Rattus norvegicus: one gene and its partners. The protein of the gene in region 6 interacts with the protein of the main gene of each other region in a pairwise test. Links are inferred from orthologs where the notes say so. Each region holds a gene or a part of one and is shown on either strand. Other genes may lie near its edges. The genes, in order: Sh2d4a, Atpaf2, Hdac4, Ccdc185, Mta1, Krt40 and Dock2.

Evidence for each region.
Region 1: the proteins of Krt40 (region 6) and Sh2d4a interact in binary tests that used the Homo sapiens proteins (3 or more experiments, as listed by UniProt). The two-hybrid records come from large-scale screens. The link is inferred for Rattus norvegicus from reciprocal best matches to the Homo sapiens genes KRT40 and SH2D4A.
Region 2: the proteins of Krt40 (region 6) and Atpaf2 interact in binary tests that used the Homo sapiens proteins (3 or more experiments, as listed by UniProt). The two-hybrid records come from large-scale screens. The link is inferred for Rattus norvegicus from reciprocal best matches to the Homo sapiens genes KRT40 and ATPAF2.
Region 3: the proteins of Krt40 (region 6) and Hdac4 interact in binary tests that used the Homo sapiens proteins (3 or more experiments, as listed by UniProt). The two-hybrid records come from large-scale screens. The link is inferred for Rattus norvegicus from reciprocal best matches to the Homo sapiens genes KRT40 and HDAC4.
Region 4: the proteins of Krt40 (region 6) and Ccdc185 interact in binary tests that used the Homo sapiens proteins (3 or more experiments, as listed by UniProt). The two-hybrid records come from large-scale screens. The link is inferred for Rattus norvegicus from reciprocal best matches to the Homo sapiens genes KRT40 and CCDC185.
Region 5: the proteins of Krt40 (region 6) and Mta1 interact in binary tests that used the Homo sapiens proteins (3 or more experiments, as listed by UniProt). The two-hybrid records come from large-scale screens. The link is inferred for Rattus norvegicus from reciprocal best matches to the Homo sapiens genes KRT40 and MTA1.
Region 7: the proteins of Krt40 (region 6) and Dock2 interact in binary tests that used the Homo sapiens proteins (3 or more experiments, as listed by UniProt). The two-hybrid records come from large-scale screens. The link is inferred for Rattus norvegicus from reciprocal best matches to the Homo sapiens genes KRT40 and DOCK2.

The regions. Positions count from the first base shown.
Region 1 is NC_086034.1:26,173,175-26,177,398, reverse strand, and holds the start of Sh2d4a (SH2 domain-containing protein 4A), read left to right. Parts: upstream 1-1,424; 5' UTR 1,425-1,466; intron 1,467-1,653; exon of another isoform or gene 1,654-1,744; intron 1,745-4,224. UniProt on the Homo sapiens protein: Inhibits estrogen-induced cell proliferation by competing with PLCG for binding to ESR1, blocking the effect of estrogen on PLCG and repressing estrogen-induced proliferation. May play a role in T-cell development and function.
Region 2 is NC_086028.1:45,717,708-45,721,649, forward strand, and holds the start of Atpaf2 (ATP synthase mitochondrial F1 complex assembly factor 2), read right to left. Parts: upstream 2,801-3,942; 5' UTR 2,667-2,800; coding exon 2,507-2,666; intron 1-2,506. Other genes in the region: Gid4 (glucose-induced degradation protein 4 homolog), read left to right, coding at 3,429-3,617. UniProt on the Homo sapiens protein: Plays a role in the assembly of the F1 component of the mitochondrial ATP synthase (ATPase).
Region 3 is NC_086027.1:99,998,638-100,002,137, reverse strand, and holds part of Hdac4 (histone deacetylase 4), read left to right. Parts: intron 1-2,993; coding exon 2,994-3,248; intron 3,249-3,500. UniProt on the Homo sapiens protein: Responsible for the deacetylation of lysine residues on the N-terminal part of the core histones (H2A, H2B, H3 and H4).
Region 4 is NC_086031.1:96,965,943-96,969,692, reverse strand, and holds Ccdc185 (coiled-coil domain-containing protein 185), read left to right. Parts: upstream 1-1,237; 5' UTR 1,238-1,259; coding exon 1,260-3,125; 3' UTR 3,126-3,250; downstream 3,251-3,750.
Region 5 is NC_086024.1:138,034,415-138,037,914, reverse strand, and holds part of Mta1 (metastasis-associated protein MTA1), read right to left. Parts: intron 3,097-3,500; coding exon 2,944-3,096; intron 2,789-2,943; coding exon of another isoform or gene 2,705-2,788; intron 489-2,704; coding exon 457-488; intron 138-456; coding exon 1-137. UniProt on the Homo sapiens protein: Transcriptional coregulator which can act as both a transcriptional corepressor and coactivator. Acts as a component of the histone deacetylase NuRD complex which participates in the remodeling of chromatin.
Region 6 is NC_086028.1:84,996,099-85,000,343, forward strand, and holds the start of Krt40 (keratin, type I cytoskeletal 40), read right to left. Parts: upstream 2,801-4,245; coding exon 2,354-2,800; intron 1,016-2,353; coding exon 933-1,015; intron 627-932; coding exon 470-626; intron 1-469. UniProt on the Homo sapiens protein: May play a role in late hair differentiation.
Region 7 is NC_086028.1:19,336,470-19,339,969, reverse strand, and holds part of Dock2 (dedicator of cytokinesis protein 2), read left to right. Parts: intron 1-2,441; coding exon 2,442-2,579; intron 2,580-3,500. UniProt on the Homo sapiens protein: Involved in cytoskeletal rearrangements required for lymphocyte migration in response of chemokines. Activates RAC1 and RAC2, but not CDC42, by functioning as a guanine nucleotide exchange factor (GEF), which exchanges bound GDP for free GTP.

The DNA of each region.
Region 1 (4,224 bases), on a different chromosome or scaffold from region 6:
CTGCTAGGCAGAGGACAAACCATTCTAAAGCACCTCATCTGGCCACCTGATTCAGTGCTGTGGAGAGAAAGCTTTAAGCCAGGAATCCTTGCCTGAGTGTATCACAAGCACCATTCCTAAATGGCTAAGTCTTGTTTCCTCAGAGTGGAGGGTGTAACTCCTGCCTGTAATGTTTTCCAACTTAAGAGTTTTTCTGGAGGAGTTAGGGGAGGGACTGAAGGAGCTGAAGGGGCCTTATCTGGCATCAATAGGAGCCTGTGAAGGCTCAATGCCCCAGTGTAGAGGAATGCTAGGGTGGTGAGGCTGGAGTGGGTAGGTGGGTAGGTGGGTAGGGGAACACCTTCATAGAAGCAGGGTAAGGGGGCATGCAATAGGGGATTTGCAGAGGGGAAACCAGGAAGGAAGATAGTATTTTAAATGTAAATAAATAAAATGTCTAATTTTAAAAAGTTTTCTGTGGTTGCGAAAGCCTACGGTAAACAACGTTTGGGTTCAGCACGTCAGGCTCCTAAATCGATTGGATAGGGTGTATAAAGTCACACCATGTTTCTTGTTTATAACAGTGCTCTCCAATCTCCCCAGTCTGAACTCCTGTGTCATCCCTCCCCACCCCCACTCATACACACCCCCAGCCCTGTTTTCTTCCACACATGCCCAAGGTTCCTCGCCTGTGGAAAAGGCTGTTCCACTTTTCCACTCTGTTCAGCTTTCTCCCCTCCCAGATAAGCTTAGGCTTCAGCAGTGCCCTGTGCCACCCTGGTCCTGATCACAGGGAACTTCTACCTTTTTTCCCCTCAGGTTTCTCTCCCTGGCTGCCCCTTTCCCTAGAGCCTGCAACATTCCAGTCTTTCTCTTCCTTGAACATGCCTTAAGCCACACCTGGAGTAACAAATGCTTCAGAGTTTGATAATTTACTTAATGTCAACAAAAGAGAAGGAAAAAGTAAGCTGTAGAAACGCAGTCACAGAACTGCAGCCAACTTGGCTGCAGGACCCAGGTTCCCAGATGGACCCTGCCTGCCTGCCATTGCAGGCTCCACCTAACAAGTCAAGTGTGGACAATTGTAATTAGTAAGTCCCACAGACCCCCCCTGAGGTGTCAGGGCAAACTACCCCAGACTGTAGACAGCACTCTAGATTAGCCAAGGACTAGTGGCCTTGCTGTCACTGGACCAAGGCAGCCAAGCCTTGCCTACTGGCCCTGGAGCGCCTCCAGCACCCGGGAGGGGCCTTGAGGGAGCGCCCAGTCAGTCACCCCAGCATGTGGGCGCGGCGGGGCGGGCCAGGGCTGTGATCTGGACGCCGAGTGTCCTTCTGGGCCCGAGTGTTTGTCCAGACAGCCCGCGCGGCTGGGTCTCTGCGCGGCTGGGTCTCTCTGCTTGTCCTCCCTTCTCTTCCTGGAGTTGCTGTAGGCAATCTGGAGGTGGCGGCGGGTGCTTGGACCACCTTGCCCCGGGTCCTGAGCAGGTAGGTGACCGGGTCGGGTAAAACGCTGGAGCATAGAGCCAGGCAGAAGGGTGAGCGAGGAGTGGGAACCAGGAGATGCGTCTCTAGAGCGAAGGGTGAAGCACAGAGGACAGGGAGAGGAAGAGACCCTGGTTCCCGCGGCCAGGCTGCTCACCTGTCCCTCCGGTCCCTCCTCCACGGCGCTCAGGGCGAGCTCAGGTGCCCAGAGGAACAGACCACAACGGCTGCGGGTGTCCGATGTCTCGTGTAGGGTGTCCAGTGTCTGCAGCCGGGTCCAGGTGAGTGGCGGCCCCAAGAACAGAGGGCTTGTGATCATTATACTAAGAGTCTCCAGAGGGAGGAGAATCGGAGGCGACTTGGAGTCTTTCAGGAAAGTTGTCCCGTCCGGGCTGTGCATGCACACGCGGCGAGTGCTAACTGGCCTGGGGCAGGTGCACAGCGGGGGCCACCTGCGAGGGTCTGAGCCACGAAGAGGGTGCTGGGTGTCGGCTACAGTACCCACAAATCAGCGGAGGTCCAATCACTGGGCAGTGCCATGTGGTCTCCTGGCCCGGAGACCTTCCAGACAAGAGTCCTGAAACCGGTTTCAGCACAAGCAGAACTCCATTAGTAAGTTCCCCGCGCTCCCGCGGGCGCCCTCACGTGGTACAGAGAGCAGCGGGCTCGTCGTCTCTCTGTGGTTCTGGGTCAAGGCTCAATCTAGAATCAGCCTAGCCAGAATTTTCCTCAACAAAAGTGAGCCATTACCAACCGTTCCTGCCTTAAGGGGTTCATGGGCCCTAGGTGGAGGCACTCAGTGTTTATAGGTTTTCTCAATGTCTCTCTTTGCTATGGTCCCAGAGAAGCAGGGATGACAGCCTCTTGCTTGTGTAAAGAAACAATGTATTTATAATTTTTCTTATTTAATAATAAGTGGAAGAAATACTTAGGCGAAGATTTAGCACAAATAGGCTTTTCTAGGAATATCTATCTATGAAATACTTCAATCTTGAGAGTATTTACAAAACTTCCAGCTCCTCTCACCACTTGCAATTCATTTTGTTTCCAAAATCATCATGTAAATTAATAAGAAAAATATTGAGCAATTCAAAGCCTGACAACAGAGAACGCAAACTAAGTTCTTACCTTTAGGGATATATGTACTGTAAATACAGAAATATTTTAATGAAGGTAGTTGTACCCAGAGTTTAATTATTATCATTATTGTTATTATTTATTAGGCTCTGTATTAATTAAAAACAATTGTGAGGAAAAGTGGAAAGTGTGAAAGTCAGACAAGATCTACAGGTATCCTGAGAACTTAACTAAATTTTGGACTCTTCAGAAATTTTTAGAGTGAGTGACAGGTATGGGCTTGTTCCCTGCTAGTTGTCTTTTTCAAGAAAAATGCCACAGGAGAGGAAAAACAAGTTAACTGGGCTGTACTCTGTGTTGGACCACGAGTGACTGCACTCAGTATGAGACCCACACATCACCAAACAGTGATTGTCCGGTAACGTGAAAGTAGGAAAACCCCTGGCAGGTTCACTTCCTCCTTTTCATTTCCTGTACTTGTCTCAATAGCTTCAAGGCAGATTTTATCTCAGGATCCAAGAGCTACAATGATCCTCAGGTTAGTTTTATGGATTAAGAAACAGGGTCTAAAGATGTGAAGTGACCTTCCAAAGTCATGGGTCACTGGAGGCAGAACCGGGAATCTAAGCTGGTGAACCTGTCTGTAGCTGTGCTGTGGTCTGCTCTAGGAAAGCCTTGGAGAGCTGGTTAACTGACATCACTCAGAGCCAATCAGCAGTCCAGTTCGGTGCCCATAGTCAACAGCCACAGGCACTTGTTAGCTGGGTTTCTTTTGTATTCCCTGAGGCCACCAGGAACCACGGTATTTTCTTCAAAAGGGATTAAACTGGCCCTGGTGGTTAGGGTCTATATAATCCCAATTATTTGAGAAATAAAGACAGCCAGTGTGGAAAGTCAAAAGCCTGTTTAGGCTAGGTTATATTAAAAACTGGCCTGGACAATTTAGACTCCATCTCAAAACATAAAGTAAAGGGGGCTGGGGGTGCAGCTCAGCAGCGGAGAATTTGCTTGGCATGTGCAAGGGTCAGGTTTAATCCTCAGACCACAAAACAAAACATGCCAACCAACCTTGATGCTTGAAGTCTATGTTACACAAGCTACCCGAAGCAAAGCAGAACAAAGAAGAGAGTTGCGCACCTCTTTACTGGAGTACCAGGGAAGGGAATGTTGGTGGAACAAGGCAAGTGGAGAGTAAGAGGAAGACAAAGTCACCACTGGACCAATGCGGGTAGCAACTCTGTGCTCCTTCCTGGATGGTGTATTTTCTTCTGTGGCCTCTCTAAGCTTATCTACACTTGATTACCGTAGGCTTCCGCACTAGCTGAGGTATCTCCAGTTTTAAAGTTCTCTTCCCAAGGACATTTTCTGATCTTTGTCCGGAAAATTTCAAAGTGGCACCAATCACTTCCTGATTCTGGACTCAGGAGTAAACTTGTAGCAGCCAGTCTGTGCAGTGGATACAGTAACTGCTGTGCTTCCCCCTCACTGTCTTCCTCAGTTCCTCTTGGCACTACAGTGGAAGGAGTGAGGGACTTAACTCTTGCTGAGTGCTTATGGTAGTGCAGGAAACAGTTAAGTGTCCGTTCTGTTATCAGAGAGCGCCTGGAGCCAAATCATTCCTGGAGGAATGTGCCCTTGGCTCTTTGAGGGAGTTAATTTTCAGTTCTCTCTGATCCTTCAAGAA
Region 2 (3,942 bases), about 39 Mb from region 6:
TCTGGAGCAGAGGTCAATACTCTAGGTTGTTCTGGCCAATATAACAAAATCAGACAATATGTATGAGTATGTGGCTGTGTTCCAATAAAACTTTATTTCAAAAGCAGGTAGAAGTCTGGTCCCTGACACGCCTATGAGGATGGCAAAGCAGGCAATGCCTCTAAAGTGGCAGAAACTTGGAGAAGCTGCCTTGGACAGAGGGGCAATTTGTACAGGACTTCAAGCTTTTATTTCTTTGGGAATTTGCCCCAAATGCTGCTTCTCCAAACTACATCTCCCTCTGGGCAGAAAACAGGAGGGTGGCCACAGCCTCACAAAGGTCTCTGCACCACACTACCTCCTCCTGTAATGCTGCAGTGAGCCCTTCGAATGTCCCTCCTCTCCACACAACCTTCCATGGTGTGGCTGTCCCTCAGAGACCTTGACAACTAGAGTCTTCATCAAGAAGGACTTAATAATTTATATGCTTCAGAGATACACAGAAACATCTCACACCTGGTGAGGACTTGGAGAGCAGAACATATCCTAGGGAGGCAAGGCATAAACAAAGACATTCGGGAGGTCACTAAATAGGCAAAGGGTTAATTTAAACGAGTAGACACTTTTTGTTTTCCAACATGGAAGTGCTTGATCTGCCATCTTTTCTTTTGTATACAGACTTACCAGTTGGCTCTTAGCGTTATCTAGCACATAGTAGGTAGTCAAATGTGAAAGAAAATAGGAATGTATGAGTGAGGCACAATGAGATATGTGGAAGTCAAGCCCTGTTCTCCTCCCCCTCCCCCATGACCCCAAGTGATCCTATCTCAGACTCCCAAGCAGCTGATACATGTGTGTGACACCACTAAGCTTCTTCCTAGCCCATTTTTAGGCCTTCGTTTATGTCCTGATAAGTAAAAATCAGCTCCCTGCTGCATCCACTCTTCTTCCACTTATATAAGATTATGGGTTATAGACCATGGAAATGGCTCACCATGTAAAGACACTGACCACAAAACCCAATATCCACAGTTCAATCCCTGAAAGCCACAGCCAACCCCTGCTAGTTGTCCTCTGACCTCCATGCACATGCCAAGGGCATATATACATATACATACTAAGTAAAACAAAAAATTATGGAATTTACAGCCTAAAGAATCCTTAAAAGCAATCTCATGCTTCAGATCACCAAAGAAAACAACATCATACCTGCCCAAGACCACAGTACCTCAGAAGTTTAGCCAACAAGAGACCCAAGGTTTGTACTCTTCTGCCAATGCCAAACTGCCTATGGAATTGTTGCCTAATGAGGGCAGTGTTGCAGCAAGATCTCTAACACCCAGTCATCACCTCTGGACATGCTACACCCTTTTCCTCCCCCAGCAAACTCTTTTTTTTTTTTTTCCTTTTCTTTTTTTTCGGAGCTGGGGACCGAACCCAGGGCCTTGCGCTTGCTAGGCAAGTGCTCTACCACTGAGCTAAATCCCCAACCCCCCCAGCAACCTCTTACTCATCTATCAAGCCCCAGTTTGAATGCCCTTTCAATCACCCTGTACACACTCATCCTTGTGATCTCTCAAGTCCTTCGTACTTCCCACATCAGTGTATTGCAAACTATTGTTTAGTGAGCATAATGAGTCCTGCATCTGATGTTGCGTACCATTCAGGTGAGACCACGTGCCCTCAACACAAAACATGTAACCCAACGAAGGGAGGGAGGCCATCATTACTTTTCATTCACCAAAGTGAACCTCACTGGTAAAATCTCACTCCAGAAGCAATGAGATAACCTTCTTTCAGGATTACAGTCCTTAGTAGGTCAAAGAAGCCTGGTATAAAGCGTCACTATAGAGAAGGCTGCAGAGAATGCAGAGGTCGTGGCACTGCACTAGGACAGAGGGCCTGCAAACCCTTAAGGAAGTGTGTGAGGGTGTTAGACTTAAAGCCAGCCTGCTCTGTGCCAAGTCTTGTGTTGGCTGGGTCCTGGAGACAAAAAGCAGTCAAGCTAATCTTTGCCTCCACAACTTCAACCAGTCTGCTCTGTGACCTTGGAAGTCCTGATTGAAAGCCTAGATTTTCCTTTCTGAAATCAACGAACTCCTGTTTCCCTTTAAAAGGAAAAAATTGAACCAGGTGCACGCCTGTAATTCCAGTACTCCGGAACTAGAGGTAGGAGGATCTCAGAGTTCGAGGCCAGCCTGATCTATAGAGTGAGTTCCAGGGCAACCAGGGCTACACTGAGAAACCCTGTCTTGAAAAATGAAACAAGCAAAAGGCGAAGAAAAAGAAAGGAAACTGAGAGAAGCCTCAGCCAAATATCTCCTACCCTGGAAACGCTGTGTCCCCTAAAGTCACTCCCGCACTGGTTTGGATGTCATTTTTCAAACTGAAACAGAGTTCTATTACTCTGAATATTCTCATGGGCCTGAACCCTGCCTCAGTCACCCCGCACTGCACGTCGGAAACCTTCCGCCAGGTGAGCCCGACTTGGCTCCTGAACAAAAAGTAACAGAAGTCCGGGCCTCACCTGTTGGCGGGACGTAGGCCCGGGCTGGAGGCCTCAGAGCTGGCCCCGGCCACAATGAAACGGTGGGGTCACCGAGAGGCCGGTCCAAGAGACCGCGCCACCGGTCCCTCAGCCGGGGGTAGATTCGCCACATCATGCCCAAGGGTTTGGGTGGACCCATACGTGAAAACAGTACAGGAATAGAGCGAAGAGAGTCCCCCAAACGCCTCGCTGGTTCCGTACGGAAACCTCTCACCAAGGGTTCAAAGCCCTCAGCCTCCTCAGCACGCCGCCATCTTCGTCATGACACCTACGGCACGCCGTCACAGCCACGCGCCCCCTGCGTACCGCCCCCGCCCCCGTCAATCAGCATCACAAGCGTGCTCGCCCCGCCCCCTCCATGCCGCGCTACGGGAAGAAAACTACAAGTCCCAGAGGGCCATTCGCGCACCGCACCACGTGCTTTCTCTGTCTGCCAATGGGCGGAAGCGCCGCGTGAGCTTGCTCCCGCCTCTCCGGCGGGTCCGCGCCAATTGGAAGCAGTAGAGTGTGTGTGTGTTTGTGTGTGTGTGTGTGTGTGTGTATGTGTGTGAGTGTGTGCGCGAGTGTGTGTGTGTGTGTGTGTATGTGTGTGTGCGCGCGTGTGTGTATGAGTGAGTGTGTGCGCGTGTGTGTGTGCATGTGTGCGTGTGTGTGTGTGTATGTGTGAGCCCGCGAGGGCAAGTGGGAAGGGGAGCCCAGCTCAGGACTGGGAGGCCCTGCTTGCAGGTCTCGGGGTCCAGGTGGCGACACGAGCGCTCGGTCAGCCGGCAGCGGGCGGGTGGTTCCCCAGCCCCTCCCCCGCGCGTGCGCGCCCGGGTCCGCCCTCCCCGCAGCTTCGGCTCCCGCGCGGCGGCGGCGGTTCCTTCCCCCTCCCCCAGCCCTGGCTCCGGGGGACCCCGCGATGCCGGTCCGCACCGAGTGTCCCCCGCCGGCGGGTGCCTCAGCCACATCCGCGGCTTCACTCATCCCGCCGCCGCCCATCAACACCCAGCAGCCCGGCGTGGCCACCAGCTTGCTCTACAGCGGCTCCAAGTTCCGTGGCCACCAGAAGAGCAAGGGGAACTCGTACGACGTAGAGGTGGTGCTGCAGGTGAGCGCCAGGCGGCAAGGCCCGGCCCGAGGGCCTCCTCGCGGCGCTCACGGGCCGGGCCTGCCCTGGGCTCCTCGAGCCCTCAGCCGCGGACCAGGCCCTCACTGCCGGGGCCTCCTGCACCCGGCGCCTCCCACCGGGACCTGCCCAGCTGATGTCACACTCTCGAACCCTACCCCTAACCCACCCCTAGACTCAGAGCCTGTAGCGGCCAGCCTCCGACAGACCCCGAAGACTGTCCCACACTTGGAGCCTTTGACTCTCCCGCTTGGGATCCGGAAGCACCCCCATGACTAGCCGTCCTTTAGCCTGGGTCGGTTCTTCC
Region 3 (3,500 bases), on a different chromosome or scaffold from region 6:
AAGCAAAGATGAGGTCAGAGAGGGAAAGGGAGTGCTGTTTCTGACTGTGGCTCCCAAAGCCTAGTTGCACCAGCACCTGCGTCAGTGCTGAGTAGAGTGGCCCAGCCACTGCAGGCCACGGCCTGTTCTGCACTGGTGACAGGACTCTCAGTGGCCCTTATTGCCATGGCAGCATTCCTGATAGGCATCCTCTAGAGGGAGGCCTAGCCAAGCCGCAGCCCCTTGAGAGCCTTCCTGTCCCTGCTTCTTGTTCTGGACTTTCTGCCTGCCTATCTCATGCCAAGGCTGCAGCATGCGTGGCACCAGTGAGCTCTCACATTGTCAGCAAACTGTACCCAACCTGGAGAGGAAACAGGGAAGCCTGCCCTGGCAGTGGGGGCCATTTGACAGGGAACTAAAAGCAAGAAGCCTGAGGCCTTCTCAGCATCAGGCACAGCTAGTAGAATTGCCCACAACCATGTACTAGTACTCCCCCCAACTTTCCTAGAGGTCCCCTTGTAAGCCACAGTCGCCATTGAGCCCGGGGTTCTAAGTGGGCGTTCCTTTATTTTATGTGTCAGTACCAGTGTTCCTGCCTGGGTTAACAAGGTAGACTCCAGCCTTTAGGGAACTTGAATGTTGTCCAGTGGAGTACTTTGAACTGTAACCTTAAGAAAAACAGAAGGTACTCAGAACCATAGGTGGTACAAAGACACTGAAGAGATAATGACACTAAACAGAACACAGGATATGTTCAAGCCAGAAAGGAGCACAGAAGTTATTAGGGGTTGACTGTAGGGCCATAAGACAGAGAGTGTTGTGAGGGTACTAGGGCTCAGCTGTTCATAGAAGGGTATTGGGAAGAAAGGCCCCTCTCTCTGTTTCTCCTTTAACCTAGCAGTAGATGGGAGGTGAATGGCCGTGTGTGCTTTTCTGACATCTTTCTCCATGTTGATTAATAAAGATGTTGGAATGGAGCTTGTCTGCCCACAGCACACTTACCCTGCCTCCTCCTTTCAGAAGACACCCTGCACGCTTCCTATGACAGTCCTTACCTGTCACGGCCTGCTTTTAGCAGTTATTTTGATTTCTGACTATCATGGGCTACTATCCCTGGCACTTGTAACCACTTAGAACTGAGCCTTTACAATGACCTGACTGCCTTAGAGCCCAGTCACTTTGGGCAGGTCAGCCATACGTCGATAATACCTTTCTGCCATTCTTGACCCCGAGTGTGTGTGTGTGTGTGTGTGTGTGTGTGTGTGTGTGTGTGTGTGTGTGTGTCAAACAGACCGACTACAGACAGACGAAGTAGGGAGGGATAAAGAAAGGGCTTCAGTCATACTCTGACTGCTTGAGCACCTGTCCTTGTAGGCCCGCCTTTCCACCTCTGGCTCTATCTGAAGGTAGCTGACCTAGGCCTGACCTGCCATCTGCATCCCAGTGCTTATACTTCAACCTTTCTAGCCAGACTGCAGCTTGTCTCCCTGCTGTTCTCCACCCAGGGCCCAAAGGAAGTCCTTTGAGCCCTCTGCTGTGTTCTGAGCCCCAGGGTCTGTCTCTGCATTCCTAGCCCTGTTGCTTCCTCTTTTACCTGTAAGCTGCTGTGCAATGGTGGCCTGTTCCAGAGGCCCATCCAAGCTTCTCTTGTTCTGTCCTCTGCTATTACTCCCTAGCAGATGAAGCCACCTTCCCCAGGGAATTTCCTCCATGTCATCTAAAGATACTCTGTCCCTTCCATCCCTGCCATAGGACTGACCTAAAGGGCCCAGTCTCAGCAACCTGACATCAGACACCCAGGTCACCTCATCCTGTTAACAGTTACCTGTTGCCCCTGGTGCTTGCTAGAATGGTGTCACTTACCCTTCCCCCGCCCAAAGTCAGAGTTAGGAGTTTGGGATACCTGGGAGTAAGGTGCCATTAGCACATCACAAACTGTACAGGGGAACAAATACTTAGCAATGCATGTTTGATAAAGCCTGCTTGCTTAGTCTGCCCCATCAGCCGGAGAGAGGATTGACAGCTCACTAAACTGGCGTGGGCTTTATTCACCTAGCTTTATTGAGGCTGTTTACAGTGTACAGTGTGTTGGTCTGCGTGAATACAATATGACACAATCCCAGCCATGCCAGTTCACATGTGTAGGACTTCACTCAACCACCCCATTGTATGCATGTTCATACTCAGCATGCTTAAGATACAGGACAAGTGCCACCGTCACCTTTCTCACGGAACTCATCTATCCAGTAAGAAGCAGTGCCCTGTGGTCAGTGTCTCCCTGGCTTCCACTGTCTTCCTTTGTGTCTTGGGGTTTTAGGCATAAGATCCCCTGAGCAGTCTAGGCTTTCAGAACATAATTGGAGAAATCTTGCTTTCACAGCCGTGTGGTAGCTTCATAAAAGTTAGCTGGGGAGCTTGGCACATACTTTTGAAGGCGCACCACCAGTAGTGTCCCCCACAGACTGATGGTATGTCCTCAAGGTCCTTTCTATTTGGTACTTCCCTAAGCTTTCAGAGAGGCAGCTTCTGAGGACTTTTCGACCCTCCCAGTTCTGTACTGGTTTCTTACCACAGGGTGACTGACATCTGCCTCTGTTGCCCTTCTCCAGCCACAGTATGTCCTGCTAGGTGGCATCTGGGGATGTTACTCTCAGCATCTGTGGCCATGTGACTGACACTGGCCTCTCTTGAACTTACCTTTCCTCACTTCTGCACATTGAGCTGACACTTGCAACCTAACTTAGTTTTCCCTACCTGATACACGCGAAAACACTGCATGAGCACTGGGTACCTAGTATCTGTCTACCTCTGTCTGCAGGTCACATTACCTTAGCCCTGAGACCATTTCCTGTGTGTCTCAGATACTGCTAGGGTCCATGTTGTGTGGGTAAATGGTACCTGCTGGCCCTGGATCACACAGGTCCTTGGTAGAGCATTCCTGAGCTGTGGAAGGTGGAGGAACTTCTTCCAGTGCCACGGCTGTCCTGACCTCCTTTGTCTCCTCTGTATTGCAGATGATTTCTAAACCCAGTGAGCCACCTCGGCAGCCTGAGAGCCACCCGGAGGAGACAGAGGAGGAGCTCCGTGAACACCAGGCCTTGCTGGATGAGCCCTACCTAGATCGGCTCCCTGGGCAGAAGGAGCCCTCCTTAGCTGGTGTGCAGGTGAAGCAGGAGCCCATCGAGAGTGAGGAGGAAGAAGTAGAGGCCACTCGAGAGGCGGAACCCAGCCAGCGCCCAGCCACTGAACAGGAGCTTCTCTTTAGACAGGTGTGGAATGAGGAGAGCAGGCAGCTTGACCTTCAGCCTCTCCTGGCCTCTGAATCACAGACAGTCGCTTTTTGACCCTAGCCATCTATCTTACTGCCCTCATGGGAGGAAGGGTGTATTTGTTGTACACTCTCAGGTACATGCACATCGACATCTGCCCTCTGAAGGAGTGCATACACCGTCTCCATCATGTGGCCTGCACTTTTTCCTCTGGTATGGGAGGCTGTAGATTGTAACCCCAAAACAAGTGTT
Region 4 (3,750 bases), on a different chromosome or scaffold from region 6:
TTCCACAGGAACCATTAGCACACAGAACCCACGGGTTCAGTTGCATTGTGGGGTCAGACCACATTTTACAGTAGCTTTCAATCTCCCAACAAACTTGGAAAGAGGGCTCAAGCCTTCATTTGGCAAAAGGCCACATTCTGAGACACACAATGCAGTCCGTTGAAGATTTCACTGCCAGATAAAAAGGAGACTGATTGTTCTCAGCATCGAGGGGATGATTGGCAGCTTAGCATTCACAAAATATCTCTTTCATGTGCTCCTGGGAACCCTGGCTTGACTTGCAAGCCCGGGCCTTCCAAGGAGTCATACTGGGATATGGAGAAGCAGGTGTGCTGTGCTGGCCCAACTTCACTTGGCTGAACACAGAAGATCCAGAGTCACTGGCCCCTTGGCAAAGGGGAACGAATCTCATAAAAGTGATGGGGGGTGAGGTGGGGGGGAAGACAAACGACAAATAAATGAAATCTTCTAGGGGCTATTTGAAAACAAAGCAGGCAAGAGTCATATTTAGATAAAAAAGCAAAGCTGTAATTCACACATTAGAGGAAAATCAGAATTGCCTGTTGCAGTTCTAAAGTTCACAAAGGTAAATGTGAAAGCATCCTTAGGGTTCGCTAAGCCCAGACCAGTGTGGTTCAAGGGCTGCTTCCTTTCCACACCTTGCATGCACAGATGAGGATCAGTGAGGTTGGTGAGATCTTAGCCTGTTAAAAGCACTTGTCTCAAAGCCTGAGTTTGACCCCTGGGACTCACATGGTGTAAAGAATCAGTCAACTCCTACAACTTGTCCTGAGCTGCTCATACGCCGATCATGGCGTATGTATTCGTCCATACATACATACACACACTAGAACAAACATAAAAATAAAAAGAGATGTGACTCCAAAGGACTAGCAAGATCCTCCTTCCTGGACACTACACTTTGCCCCTCCCTCCCACTACTTTCTATTTTTAAACTGGCGCCCTCGGCCCGGCCCGGGGGCTCCCACAATCCACTAATTCAGGGACCTGAAACACCGTTGCTGTCAAGATTCTCGTTTCTAAATACCACCCTTGTTTCCAAGACGTCCAACCAGCTCGTCAAAGCCCGGGTACACTGAGGCCTTTAAAGACCATGTGGCACCAGGATGCATTATGAAGTGGCAGAAGCGTCACAGGCCACGTGGATCGCAGGATTTGAGCGTGGGCTGGGTGTCCACAGTGGCCCCCTGAAGGTCCGCTGACCTTCCTGTAGACTCTGGGCCAGCCAGGAAGGGAGCATGGCCGGTTTCCATCTCTTCTCCCCAAAGCCCTATGGGGAGCTCGGGGAACCCTTGGCAGCTGGAGAGCAGGAGTTCGCGGACCAGCTAGGCTGGCATGAGCTGTCTCGGAACTCCTGGGCCCAGACTGCCGGAGCTGAGATCGAGACCGAGGTGCCCTGGGTGCACCCGAAGTGTTCGCCCGCCGGGCGGTCCCGTCGGCGTGGGTATATTGCCTCGCCACGAGAAAGCCACAGCCTGACACATGTGGCTCGCAGACCCTCGGACCGAGCCAGGAAGCACAGGTCTGGGAACCTCCGCCTGGAAGAAGCCTGCGGGATGGGGGAGGCACCGACCAAGTCCAGCAGAACTTGGCAGCAGAAGCGGCAGCAGCAGCCACCGGATCAGCCCAGCCCACGACACCCTGCAGCCCCGGGAGTTTCGTCCCCGCAGTACCCGGGGGAAGCTTTCAGCCCCCCGAGTGCTGGGGCTTTGCTTGTAGAAAAGACACACAATGGAGACCGGTGGGCAGTACCGGTGTGCAGACATGTAGGCCCCGGGTCCCCTGCCTTGGATCTCACAGACAAGTCCTCTGTGCACTCCCTAGAGCTCTGGAGGCAATCCACTTGTGTGTGCACCCAGAATAGGAAAAACCGCGATCGGACTAAGTATTACCCGCCCTCTGCCTCCTGCAAAGAGAAGAGTAGCCAGCATGCTCGGGTCCTCAAGAGCAAGTTGGACGAGGCGGTGATATCTTTCAGGGACCAGAAGATCTTGGCCCTGGTGCTGAGCAGGCTCAAGAAGGCTCAGAGGATGCGAGAGCTGCAGCAACAGGCTGCAGTCGCCTGGGAAGAGCTGAAGCGCTCAGACCAGAAAGTCCACCTGACCCTGGAGAGAGAGCGTAGGCTGTTGCTGCTGCAGAGCCAGGAGCAGTGGCAAGGACAGAGGGAACAGCACAAGCCTCGGAGGGGCCATAGCCATGAGCAGCCTCGCCAGGGCCACGAGCAGCAGGGACAGCGGCGGGACCGCCAGGCAAAGAGCACGGTTCAGCCGGAGAACCAGAGTGGGTGGACGATGCAACCTGACAAGCCAGAGAACCAAGGCCTAGACAAGATGGATAGGGTGCAAGTGCAGGCCGAGCACCTCAAACACTGTCAAGCGCAGAGTCTGCGGGAGCAGGAGAGGGTGCTGCAGAGTGTGCGGGACCTGAACAGGCTGCAGCTGCAGAAGAGGCTGGAGACAGCAGGTCACAAGAGGGAACAGCATGCGATGGAGAGCCCGAAGAAGGTCCAGGGGAGCAACCTGAGTACGGTTGTTAACGTCCAGGCCCGCAAGGTTCTCATGGACTGCCAGGCCAAGGCGGAGGAGCTCCTCAGGAAGCTGTCTCTGGAGCAGAGTTTCCAGAGCTCTCAGAACATGCAAGAGGGTCTGGTTAAGGAGCGGCACAGAGGGCAGCAGGGGAAGGCCCAGACTGAGGCAGAGCAGTTCCAGAGAGTGAAATGGCGAGAGGAGGAGGCGGAGGAGTTGCTCCAAGAGAGCAAGCGGGTGCTGGCAGAGCTGGCTGAAGAGAAGATGGGGCAGGCCAGGAGTCATGCGCACAAGACCTCCAAGGACAGGGCGCAGCACCTGCAGGAGCTGAACATCCTGCGGGAGAGGAACCGTCATATCTTGAAGCTGAAAGCGGAGAAGGAGGAGAAGTGTCACATTGAGGGCATCAAGGAAGCCATCAAGAAGAAAGAACAAAAGTTAGAGCAGATGACCCTAGGGAAAGATCCCATCTTCCAGGAGTACCAGAAGGTTCCCCTAGCCTCCAAGATAAACCGCTGCTATGACAAGGGGGCAGCAGAGACCCAGCTGCCCCTGCACCAGCAGGGTGGAGTCTACTGAGAACCCAGGAGGAAGAAGGCACAGCCCAGCAGCCAGAGACATCGTCATGCAATTCCGTAAAAATCCGATTTTAATCGAGCATTGATTTTTAAAAAAGTATATACAGTAGCTGCATTTTCCTCCCATGGATTAGTTCATCGATTCTCTCGGATGCTGTAGATGTGGTTGGGGCAGGTGACGTGGGGCGGGGGCGGGGGAGGATACGAAATCTGCTTGGCTTCGTGGGTTTTGAGGTGAAATACCTCTCAGGGAATGGAGAATCACACATCAGGCAGGAGTTGGAGGAGCCGGAGACGAATGCACAGTTGGGAGTAGGGTTTTAGGATGTGACTTGGTAAGCCTTGCCGCGTGTGAAGCGGGAGGAGCCTCCCAGGGGAAGCAGCAAAGGTGGGCTGGGAGAATCTCTAAGCAACTAGAATGGAGACTCTGGTCTAGTGCGATCCTTTCTCCAGAGCCCCTGGTACATTTGTAAATGTAAACGCCTACAGTATAGACACTCATTTGTAACCTAGCACTTGCCACGGACCATCACCCCATTCTTCTTCTTCCTATAGAGTGATGTTCTGTAGTTAAATGCTTTTTTCTTTCTTTTCCTTTCGTTCTTGTTTTTGTAAATGGCTGCCTA
Region 5 (3,500 bases), on a different chromosome or scaffold from region 6:
GCCATGTAAAATACATCATCTGGGGCGTCAATCCAGTTCATCCGCCGCCGCTTGACTGGAGGCAGGGAGCCGCCTCGGATTAGGCGCACTTTGGTGGGGTAGGACTTCCCATTGAGCAGGAGATTCCGACTTGGTCCCTGTGGTAAACAAATGTATGAGCACAGGAAGACAGTACCCTGCCCTTACCTTATAACCCTCAGCCCAAGACCCCCAGCCTCATGGGCAGCCAGGCCTCAAGGTTCCATAGCTAACCCACAGCCCAGGTAGGCAGCCCCTGGAGGGCTGTAGAGACCTGAATGCAGTGGGTCTACACTGTCTGTTAGGTCTGGCTAGGGCTCCCAGATGCTCTCCATGGTACCTGGTGAGGAGTGGGAGCTACCCGGGCCACTTCCCCAACACCCTGAGGGATGTGTGCACATACAGAAGCATGCCAAGTCTCCAGTCACCCATTCTTACCATGTGCCTGGTCTGTCCATGGTTTGCCAGACCTGATAAAAGAGAACACAAAGTGAGGCCAGAACAGGGGAAGGGCATTCAGCATCCACACTGACTGGGAACACTTCCAAGTCCATGAGAGTGGAAGTGGGCATGTACCTCATGAGCCACCCCTCCAACCAAAGCCCACACAACGGGCCCGTAAGATGCTCTTCGCTAGCCCAGGTGGGCCCACAGCCCTGCCAACCCCACGGACCACACATATATATGTATATGCCACAGAAGGTACAGCAGTTTGGCAACTTGGGCTCCAGGTAGGAGGCCAGAGGCCTCAGACACAGGCTATGACAGACAGGTGAAGTCTATGGACATCGAGAGCAGCTGCAGGCTGTCATCTCTATCCTTAGGGCAGCAATTGTCTGCTGGTTGCTCAAAACACTAACAGCAGATGCTAGGTAGGAAACAGATCTCTGGTGACAGCAGCATACTCGTAGGCTGAGGGTCTAAGAAGACACTGAGATGTCACTGGAATGAGGCAGAGGGGCAAACTTGAGGCTCTCGCATCCCACCCCAGCAGGAGTGCCAGCTGCGGTCCACATCAGCAAGCGCTGTACCCCAGCTTTGCTGCCATGTGTAAGCATGTATGCCAAACAGGTCCCTGGATGGCTTGGCCCCAGGCAGGGAACAAGACAGGACTCCTCTACCATGCCTGGCTATGCCACTGGACCCATGACAATCCACCAAGTTCCACACACTCATCGGAGAGCTCCCTCTTCTTTAAAAAAATATTTTGAGACAGGGCCTTATCATGTATCCCAGCTACCTGGAACCCAAGATCCTACTGGCTTCAGTTTCCCAAGTGTGAGATTTACAGCCTGCCTGTCTCTAAGAAGCAACAGTCTGCCCCATGTCCTCTACCTGCAACCTGCCCTATTCCAGGACCCTGGCTCCAGCCTTTCCCTAGTAACTCGTTGGCTCCCAGGGACCGTTTCCTGGTCTGTGGCACCCAGACAGGGACAGCCTGCTCACAGTACCTAGTGGGACCCCAACCCTGTGCCCACACAAAGCCCTGTCACAGGGACTACTTACCCAGGTAAGTGCCTGCCAGAGGGATGAGGCGGCAGAGAGAGAAGACACAGGCCAGGGTTAGAGTGAGCGGCATGCACGTGGCAGCTAAGCCGCAGGGCAGAGCAGCAGGCAGTATGGGGCAGGGGTTAGTGAGTTAAGAGCCCTGGGTGCCAGGGGCTAGCACCTTGCCCAGAGTTCCCATGTGCCCTGCTTATTTACGCAAGGCCAGGCCTGAGGCGCACCACTTGTTAGCCTGTGGCTCCTAGGCTACTTCCAGGACTGAGGCCTAGTTTTACAATTTCACAACAGCCACTTCTCTGTGGCTACGCCCCCTGACATGGGAGCTGCCTAGAGCACGCACAGGGCCAATGAGTTCCTACTACATTCTATACCCAAGTCTTCATGACAGACTTTAAAAAAGTTCAGTGAAAATGAAAAGCTCTTTGTTGAAACCAGAGCAAGGTCTGGGAGGCCATGCCTGGGCCCCTGGACTGAGGTGTACATAGCATGGCCGGTCTCATAGCCACACTAAAGGGATATGCCTGCTTGGGTACCTGACAGCTGGCAAGCTTCCAAAGCAACCTTGAGAGGGAGTATCCTGAGGGAATAAGGTATGTGAGATAGTCACTGCCCACTGCTACCTCCTGGGCTCTTGTCTTGATAGCTGGGGAGGGGCCTGAGCAGGCTCATGCTGGCTGGCTAGTATTTCCCACACTGACATCCAGACTTGGTGCTATCCCTCATCCCCAGAGCAGGTTTGTGCCCCACAACCCTTACCCCATCAGCAGACTCCAAGCTAATCCTCAGCAGACACAAGGGCCGTATGTAAGCTTAGCCACCAACCCATCCCTAATGTCCCCATCAGGCAGGGCACACAAAAATTGCAGGTAGCACTAGCCGCCCTACAAGCAAGGCTGAAGGCATGCGAGCAGTCACAGCGCGATAGCAGTGGGGGCACCAGGGGCCTCGTCCAAGGACAGTCCACCCATGGCTCAGGCCAAGACAGGCCACGGCCAGAGACCCAGGGTTCCTGGGCCCTCCTCCAAGAGACGAGTCTACAGGAAGTATGGGCTGTGGCCGGGTCTGTGTGGATTGCCCCTGTACGTGCCCTGAACCGCCCAGTCTGCTAGCAGACAGTACACACAGGCATCACGACAGGACTTGGCCACAGCACCCCACCAGCGGCCGCCCCAGGCCTTACCCCTACTGGGCATCAAGAGGCGCTTCTTCATGTTGCCTGGCAGTGCCCAGGAACAGGAGAGAGAGGGAGAGAAAACACCATCAACTAAGACAGCCAGTTGAATAAGGGTCACGTGGAGCTCCAGGGCTAGCCCTAGTCCCTTGGCCCTCAGGCCTGACTTCCTTAGAGGGCCAGCCCTGCAGCTCCCAGCAGACCTGCCTTGGTCTCTTCACAGGGCCAGTCCTTAAGCTCAGACTCACCATCTACCCCATTGTGCTGCTCATAGCTCCTCTTGCCCAAGATGGTAGGGGAGCCATTGTTGATGACAGGGGCTGACTTGGCAGGGGTCAGACTGCTGAGCACACTGGATGAGCTCTTCACAGGGTCGGGCTTAGGCGGGCGGGGATGAGTCTCTGTGGGAATGGAAGAGGTAAGGGTGTAGTTCAGAAATAGCAGCACCATAGCTTCCATGCAGTAATAACACCTTCTTACCCCGAGCCCATCGATTGATTAGGCTAGAAGGAGGCAGTCCCTATGCTACCAGAGCTCACTGGAGCAGCGATCAAAGCACTGGAGCAGGAAGGCTACCTAGGGTATGTTCAGGAAGCGTGACAGCCAAGTAGAGCCTCGCCCAATGCCTTGGACAGGACAGCTGGGTAAGTGCTAAGAGCTTACAAGATCCAGACACAGCCCATAAACACAGCAGCTCCATCAGACAGCGTCCACACCCAGGCCACCAGGTCTGATGGCAGAAGGCTGGCTACTGGCCAGACACTGAGCTGCCTGCCTGGCCCGAGCAAGGACCTGCCCACAAAAG
Region 6 (4,245 bases):
AAATATTCAAAGAGTAAATTTTTTCTTTGTTACATCAATCTGCTTCTCATTTTAATAGCTTATGACAGAATCAAATTATAAACACACAATACCTACAAACATGATTCCAAGTATTGTGTGATTGTTTATCCCTTTTTTGGAAGGGGATACACAGTCAGTTTTATCAGCTCAATTTCCTTGTTATACAATAGAGCTATGGAAAAAACCATGAGTTGAGTTACTTCTCAACCCAAGCAATGGCAGGAAAAAGAGTGACCTCACCTCCGTGCCACTGATGAGGGTTATGTTAATGATGCATGCTGTACATCACATCTACCTTGAGAGACACTGGGGCAATCATGCTACACAGTGAGAATGTCTCTAGTTTTGTTCCAGTATAGGCAGTGTCTGTCCCTGTTCAATTTATACACATGAGATTTCTCAACAGAACTCCTCCTATAGTCTTTGGCCCAGCGGCCACTCCACTCACCTCTTCATGGTCTTTCTTAAGGCAAAGTAGATCATCTTTCAGAGACTCCACATGGGCCTCCAGATCTGACTTGCACAGGGTCAGTTCACCCAGGATCCCACGAAGACCACTGATGTCATTCTCTACCAGCTGGCGCAGGGACAGTTCGCTCTCATACCTTTCAGAGTAGGAGAAAGGGAGGGAAGTGGCTTAATTGGCTCAGAGTACTGGGATGCAGGGTTGGATGACACATGGCCTCCAGAGAGTCACACGCCTCAATTTTCCTTACATTCCAAATGAAGGTGAGTTCAGGGTTCAAACATTCTCAGTTAAAAATATATATTATGCAGAAAATATTTTCTCTCTTACTGGAAGACATTAATTATTGTTAATTATTATTTTATAATTAAATTTAAAATTTAACGTGTAAATTGCATACACAAAGCACACTGTGGCTTAACAAAATAAACATAATTTGACTTACTTTGACCTAAAATCATCGGCAGCCAGTTTGCAGTTGTCCACCTGCACGGCAAGTCTAGAATTCTCTGCCTTCGTGCACAATATCTAAGAGGTAAGTCATCATTTAGTGAGGAGCTCTTTAGAAGAAATCCACATATCTATTTTAACAGCCTTGCCACTCATTAGTTTATGAAAGTCTTTCCAAGTTAACATAATGTCTCTTCCAACCCATGATTCCTATTAACTGTGCCACTTCACAGAATAAAAAAACATTCAGTGCCAATTGAGAAACAAAATACAGAAGCAAAAGACCTTCCCTTCCTAAAATGAAGGATTTCACCTTTTCTTTCTTAGTATGTGTAGGTGTGTGTGTGTGTGTGTGTGTGTGTGTGTGTGTGTGTGTATGTGCAGGTGAGCGTGTATATTTAAGAGTATGTGTATGCACATGAGAGTGTACACATTTGAGTGTGTCTGTATGTTGGTAAGAGTGTAGCCTTGTGCAGTGAGAAGAAGGTGAGAAGTTTTAGGTGCTTGTGAGCTGCCACACTTGGATGGTAGGAACTGAACTCAGGTGCTCATGAGCAGTACAATGTTGTTAATCACTGCTGAGCCGTCTCTGGGGTTCAAGGTTTCCTTTATCAGTGATGCAGGGCATTTTGTCACCATCACTGGCTTTTGAGCTTTGTTGAAGTTTCCCACACTGCTAGTGTTTGTTAGAATTGCATCTCTGTGGTCACAGAAATCCATCAATTAAAAAAGGAGAAGTGGCTTTGTTGGTCAAGGGTTTGAAACACGAGTAGGAAGATCTGGGTTCAATCTCACAGAGCTCATGTGAAAAAGGTAAGTATAATACTCAGTGTCGGTTAACCCCTGGTACTAAGGAGGTGGAAACAGTAAGATCCCTGGGGCTCCCTGGCCAGGCCTCAGGGACTGCAGCTAAATCAGTGAGTTCCAGTTTCAAGAAGAGACTCTGTCTCAAAAACAAGGCGAGGAACGCAAGGTACTTGCCATGGACCCCAGACCTCCTTACCCACACTCAGGCATGTGTTCCCTCCCCACACGATCATATATCACGTCGCCCACCAACCCCACATTTTGCACACATACACACAAATAGAGAACGATTTCCAGAACTCAAATGGATGGCATTCAATATCTGTTTGATAAAGAATATAAACACGCAATGATACATGAAGAATGGGGTTTAGAAGACGTCATAACTCAATTTCCTTCACAGTGTAGACAAAGTCTACAGCAAGGTGACATTTCTATAGTCACCCAATAATTCTCTGAGAATGAGATTGATTATTTGAACTAACTCTGGGAATCCCCCTTTCCTTTGTTTTACATCCACAAAGCAACCTGCCCTAGTACAGCTATGAGAGAAAACAGAATTGGAAAACAGAGAACATTGGGAAACATTAGGGCAGTGAGACACCCAACCTTTTGTTGTAGCTCTTCAATGGTGTCAAAGTACCGCTGATAATCCGGGCAGACCGGTGTGGCATCGGGCTCACATTGCTCTCGGATCCTGCACTCCAGCTCTGCATTGTTCTCTTCCAGGCTTCTCACCCGCTCTAGGTAGCTGGCCAATCTGTCATTCAGGAACTGCATGGTCTCCTTCTCATTACTGTTGAACGTCCCTTCTTCACACCATGCACAGTTCCCCACCAGGCAAGGACTGTTACAACCGCCAGTCAAGTAGCACGGTGAGAGGCAACCGGCCGGGAGGTGAGCCCTGCAGAGGAAGCTCGGGGTTTGACATCTGGATGTGGCGCAGGTGCTGGGAAGGTAAGTTGTGCTGGTGGGGCAGAATGAGGCAGTTGTGCAGCTCGATGCCCCTGCATAGGGCTCAGAAGAGCAGCAGTCAGGGGAGCCTTCGGAAGCCATCTTCTGAGAAGGAATGAACAGATTGAATGGTGTATTGCTTAGGTCTCGCCTAGTCTCCCAAAGGTCTAGGACTTTTGGCTTCCTGAGACTTTTATATCTCCCTTCAAATGAGTGTTTACAGGACACACCGATGTTTTCTCTAGCCTTGCAGATGCCAGCTTTCCTACAAACATCTCATTAGTGTTGATTATTTACGGAGGAAGTTGTATGCCTCGTAAAAGGAGGATAACTTCAGGTTACTAAATCAGGACTAACGCCATTTCCACATGCTGCTTGGATAAAAATTCTTATTTCAGCAAACGGCCATAGGAAGCACTACCTTTTTGAATGAATAAGGAACCAAAGAAAAAAATCGAGCCATCAGTAATTAAAGGTAGAGATCATTGGAGATACAGAAAGTAATATTCCAACAGGGTTTGATTTTGAAAATTGATTGCTCTTGTCTACTTTACAAATGGACATCACAGCTTATTAAATTGTATTTGTTTGTGCTACCAACCACTGTAAAAATGGCGGTTAGCAATCTCAATCTTGAAGTGTCTTTTTTTTAGTGAGTTTGAAGTATGTGCTTACATGGTACAGGAAAAGGTCTATGCTGAGTGCAAATTATGTGCATTCATTTTATAGACTGATGAGAATAATTGAGTCAAACTATGAATTGGTTATCAAGATCTGAATTGCGATCTTTGGTCATCTAGAATTTGTGGTCTGTAGCCAAGCACTAAGCATGCCTAACCCTGCTTAGTTGGTGAGATTGGATGTGCACTGAGTGGATAGTCAGACACGCAAGCTTTGCTTTCTCATGTTTACATTTTAGAAGCGTTATGCTGTTTTTGAAAAGCAGTCTTTCTTTCTTTTTCCTTCCGTCCTTCCCTCCCTTCTTCCTTCCTTTGAAGTTGGAGATCAATCATAAGGTATTGTTCATGGCACATAATTGATTTACCTCAACCTATAGTCCCAGTCCTTACCTATATTAAGGAGAGCAGAGAGAGAAATTGCAATGAGGGTTTAGCTGTAATCTGTGACGGAGCTCCTTACCCATTATACTTGGGAATAGAGCCAAGGAAGCCACAAAAATCTTACTTTTAAAAAAATATGGAGTCTGTCTCCTCTTTTTTATTTAGGAAAGTCTCAATTTCATGAAAATGAAAAATATTTGGATGTTGGGAATATGATTATGTGATGTCTGTTTCAGCTAACAGTTTCACTGAGTTAAGAACCTCTGGTACAGAACTAGATGGACATTGGTTCTAGGATCTCACCTCTACTATAACTATAAACTGGAGTTTCATGTTGTCTGATTTTAATTGTGGTTTTTATTTCACTTTCAAAAATTACACAGAGAAAATTGCTTTCAGCATCAATAAAAGTCCACTGTGCGTGTGTATGTGTGTGTGTGTGTGTGTGTGTGTGTGTGTGTGTATGCATGGATATGCATGTATGTG
Region 7 (3,500 bases), about 66 Mb from region 6:
AGAAGTAAAACACACAACTCATCCTATTATGAGTCCATCTTCTTTTTCATACCCTTAAAATTCACTGGGTTGCCTGACCTATCAAAGATTTGACGTTCTCTAAATTTTGCCTTGTAAGTATATAGCATACAAATAATAGATCCATTTATCGATCCGTCCTCCTGTTGGTAAATGGGTGTACATTCCATTCCCTCAAGGTACATGTAAGAGTAGAATTGCTGGTTCATTCAAGTCCAGCCTTCCTGGATATAAGAAACAGTTTTTCAAGGTGTCCGTACCAGCTTCCCTGTTTGCCAGCAGACCTGAGGAGAGTCTGAATCCCTCTCCGTTCCCACTCACACACATACATAATCACTCACATAAAACAAAAGTTACCCTTAAAAATTATTACACCATATTGTGTTATCCTTTCTGATCCTCAGAATAGATGGCAAGGTAAACCTCAGAGGCTGTACGCATAGACGGAGACTGAACAATGCCCTTTTAAATGACAGAGGGATCGTTGAGGATGTGAGAAAGGACATTATAACAATCCCTCGAACCGAATAAAAACAGAAGTACAATGTACCCAAACCCATGGGATTTGGCAAAATGTCTATTGTGAAAGAGTGGCGTGCTCACACAGGAAAATGTGTATTCCAAAGCTCTGATGGAGTGTTCTGTGGATGTTGAAGTCTAGCTGATCTGTAGTTTAACACCCATAATTCTTTGCTGGCTTCTCTTAGCCTGGTTGGCCTGCGTGCTTGTCACTGGGCATCCTTGCCCCTCCCTCCTCCCTCTTCACACCTGGAGATTGATGACCAATTTCCTGTCTTATCTAAAGTGTAACACTAAAGCCATATTATCTTTATGGAAGACTCCTCTGGTAATACTTTTAACGGAGCATCTTAAGCTTTCCGTAGACTTTCCTCCACATCCGTCTGTCCCTTTGTTCCCATGCTCCCTATCCTGCCTGTTAATTTTGGGTGAGTTTTTTGCAGTGCCTGGTGACCCCTGCAGATTCCTCCGAATTCCCAGTGAAGCTAATTGGAATCAGTATGCCAGGGAGAAGGGTCATCTGTCAGCAAGGTGGCCTTATTGCCTGGCAACTAAGTGACCCCCACGTTTGAACCTGCGCACCTACACGGGTCACTTGTACTCTCTAGAAGCAGATTCTTCCACGTGGTCAGCGGGAAGATGATCTGGTTGCCACGCTGGGCCATCTGGGCGCCGTGCAGTGGTCATCGCTCCACTCCTAAGCCATTTTCTTTTCATCTGCTTGTTTTCAGTCTGGGGGCGGCTGCTCCTCCCCCCTCGTACCTTCGGGTACAGTGCCCCCTGAGTCCCAGGTTTCATGATCTAGTTGTTTTAGAGGACAAGTTTCTGGTTCTTGAGAAAGGAGGAGCGCATTACACCTAGCTGCAAGGTGAAGCGATGGGCACCTTGGGCATGGATCTAAACCTCAGCTTTCCCGGGACAGCCTTGCCTCTGCCCCCCAGTGCCTCCTTCATTCCTAGAAGCAGGATGGCCTCTTCTAACCACCAACTCCCTCCTCTGCTCTCGAAGGTCAGTTACAGCCTCCAGCTACCTTCCTCCTGCCCATGCGCGGCACGCTTACAGCTGAGTGCCCATCTCACTGCAGAGTGTGTGTCTCCCTGCACGTCTCGTCTCTCAAGACAGCTAAGAGAAGGAGACAGAAATGGCTTTACCCCACCCTGGTGGAGATGCTCGTTTCTCTAAAAAGGTTCTATCCCCTATCTTGGCTGTCTTAGCTATTTTACCAGAGGGCCGTGCAATTAAGTTTCTCAAACTTTCCTTGGAGCCTTGAGCCCTGCGGCTCTGTTCCTCCCCTTCCAGGTCTCTGAGGTTCCGTGCTCTGACCTCCTTCGTGGATAAGACAAACTGTGTCTCTCTCTACCCACTCTTCCCTCATCTCATGTCTTCCTGGGGTGTGGCAACACTGTCTAGAAACTCTCTACTAATAAAAGAACTTTCTGATACCAGCACACTCATAGCAGCTATGAAAAGTATAATTGGGCCCCACGGTGTAAGAAGGGGCTGTGGCCTCTCTTCCCTTCTCGCTCTTCCCTGTTGCCTGACTTCTTATCTTCATAATTTCACTTTTTTTACTCCTGAATACTTCTTAAACAAAACTGTGAGGCAAAGCCCTGGAGAGTCCCTCTTTCTGTTCTCTGAACTCCGACACGTTGCAGAGTTTTTTGAGGACTCAGACTTCCCCATGTCTGTGGCTTCTAATGCCCGGGACAAGGACAAGTCTGGGTAAACTAGAGCATCTGGGGTCATTGTTACCCTCCATTATAAATCCCAAGGCTATACCTGTCCAGGGACCATGTGGGTCTCGGAGCACCTGAAGGCCCTTGAGGAAGCGTTAACAAGTCAACTTGAGCTCCTGAGCCAGCCCCCCTTAGCTGAGGGCCATGGCTTGCTACCTCTCTCTTCAGATCCCCTTCCTGGGAGCAGGAATTAAGATTCACGAGAAAAGGGTGTCAGACAACCTGCGCCCCTTCCATGACCGGATGGAGGAGTGCTTCAAGAACCTGAAAATGAAGGTGGAAAAGGAGTATGGTGTCCGAGAGATGGTATGAGTGATCCCTGTGACTGGGGACGGGGAGGGTTGTGGGAATAAGAGCTGAAAGGGGCTGGCCATGGGGGAACTTTCCTATATGCCTAGACCTTTGAAAATCACCCCTAAAGGTAAACCAGTCATAATTGGACCTATGGAACTATCGCTTACTCAAGAGAATGTAGTTATAAAGGCTACATTAATGGAACACCTACTACGTGCTCAGCCTTCTATAAATACAGTTGATATATATCAAGTGATTAATATAAGCAGATTGTGCAATACTTTTAAAGTCCATATATATATGTATATATACACACACACATATATATATTACATATACACATACACATATATACACACACATATACACACACACATATATATATACACAAACAGATATATACATACACACACACATATATATACACACAAATAGATATATATGTACACACACACACACACATATACACACACATTATATATGGGTAGATTCCATGTGTTTTCAGATTACACTTTCAACTTAACAGCAGACTTAGCAGGATGTGACCTCATACACTGAGGAGCTTCTGTACGGAGGCTTTCAGATGAGGCCACCAATCACGAGTAGCTAGGTGAGGGTCACACAGGGCGAGGGAGGAGAGGATCCAAGACAGGGAACTTCCGTGTTATCAGGACACATCACCCTCTGGCATATTGGCATGTGATCACCTACCAGGGAGCTCACTAGAGCTCAAGTGTGGAGAATCTTTCCAAAGCTTGCACTACTCAGCCAGGATTGAGTGAATCATTAGTCCCGGGCTGGAGGTTCATCTCTGTTCCTTGTCTCCTCTCTGGAGGTTGTGTTGATAATATGTGACTCAAAGTCTTATCCCTGTAACAAGAGGGTTGGTCTCTCTGGCACAGGCCAGCCCCATCCCAAGCCCTCTCATTAGCA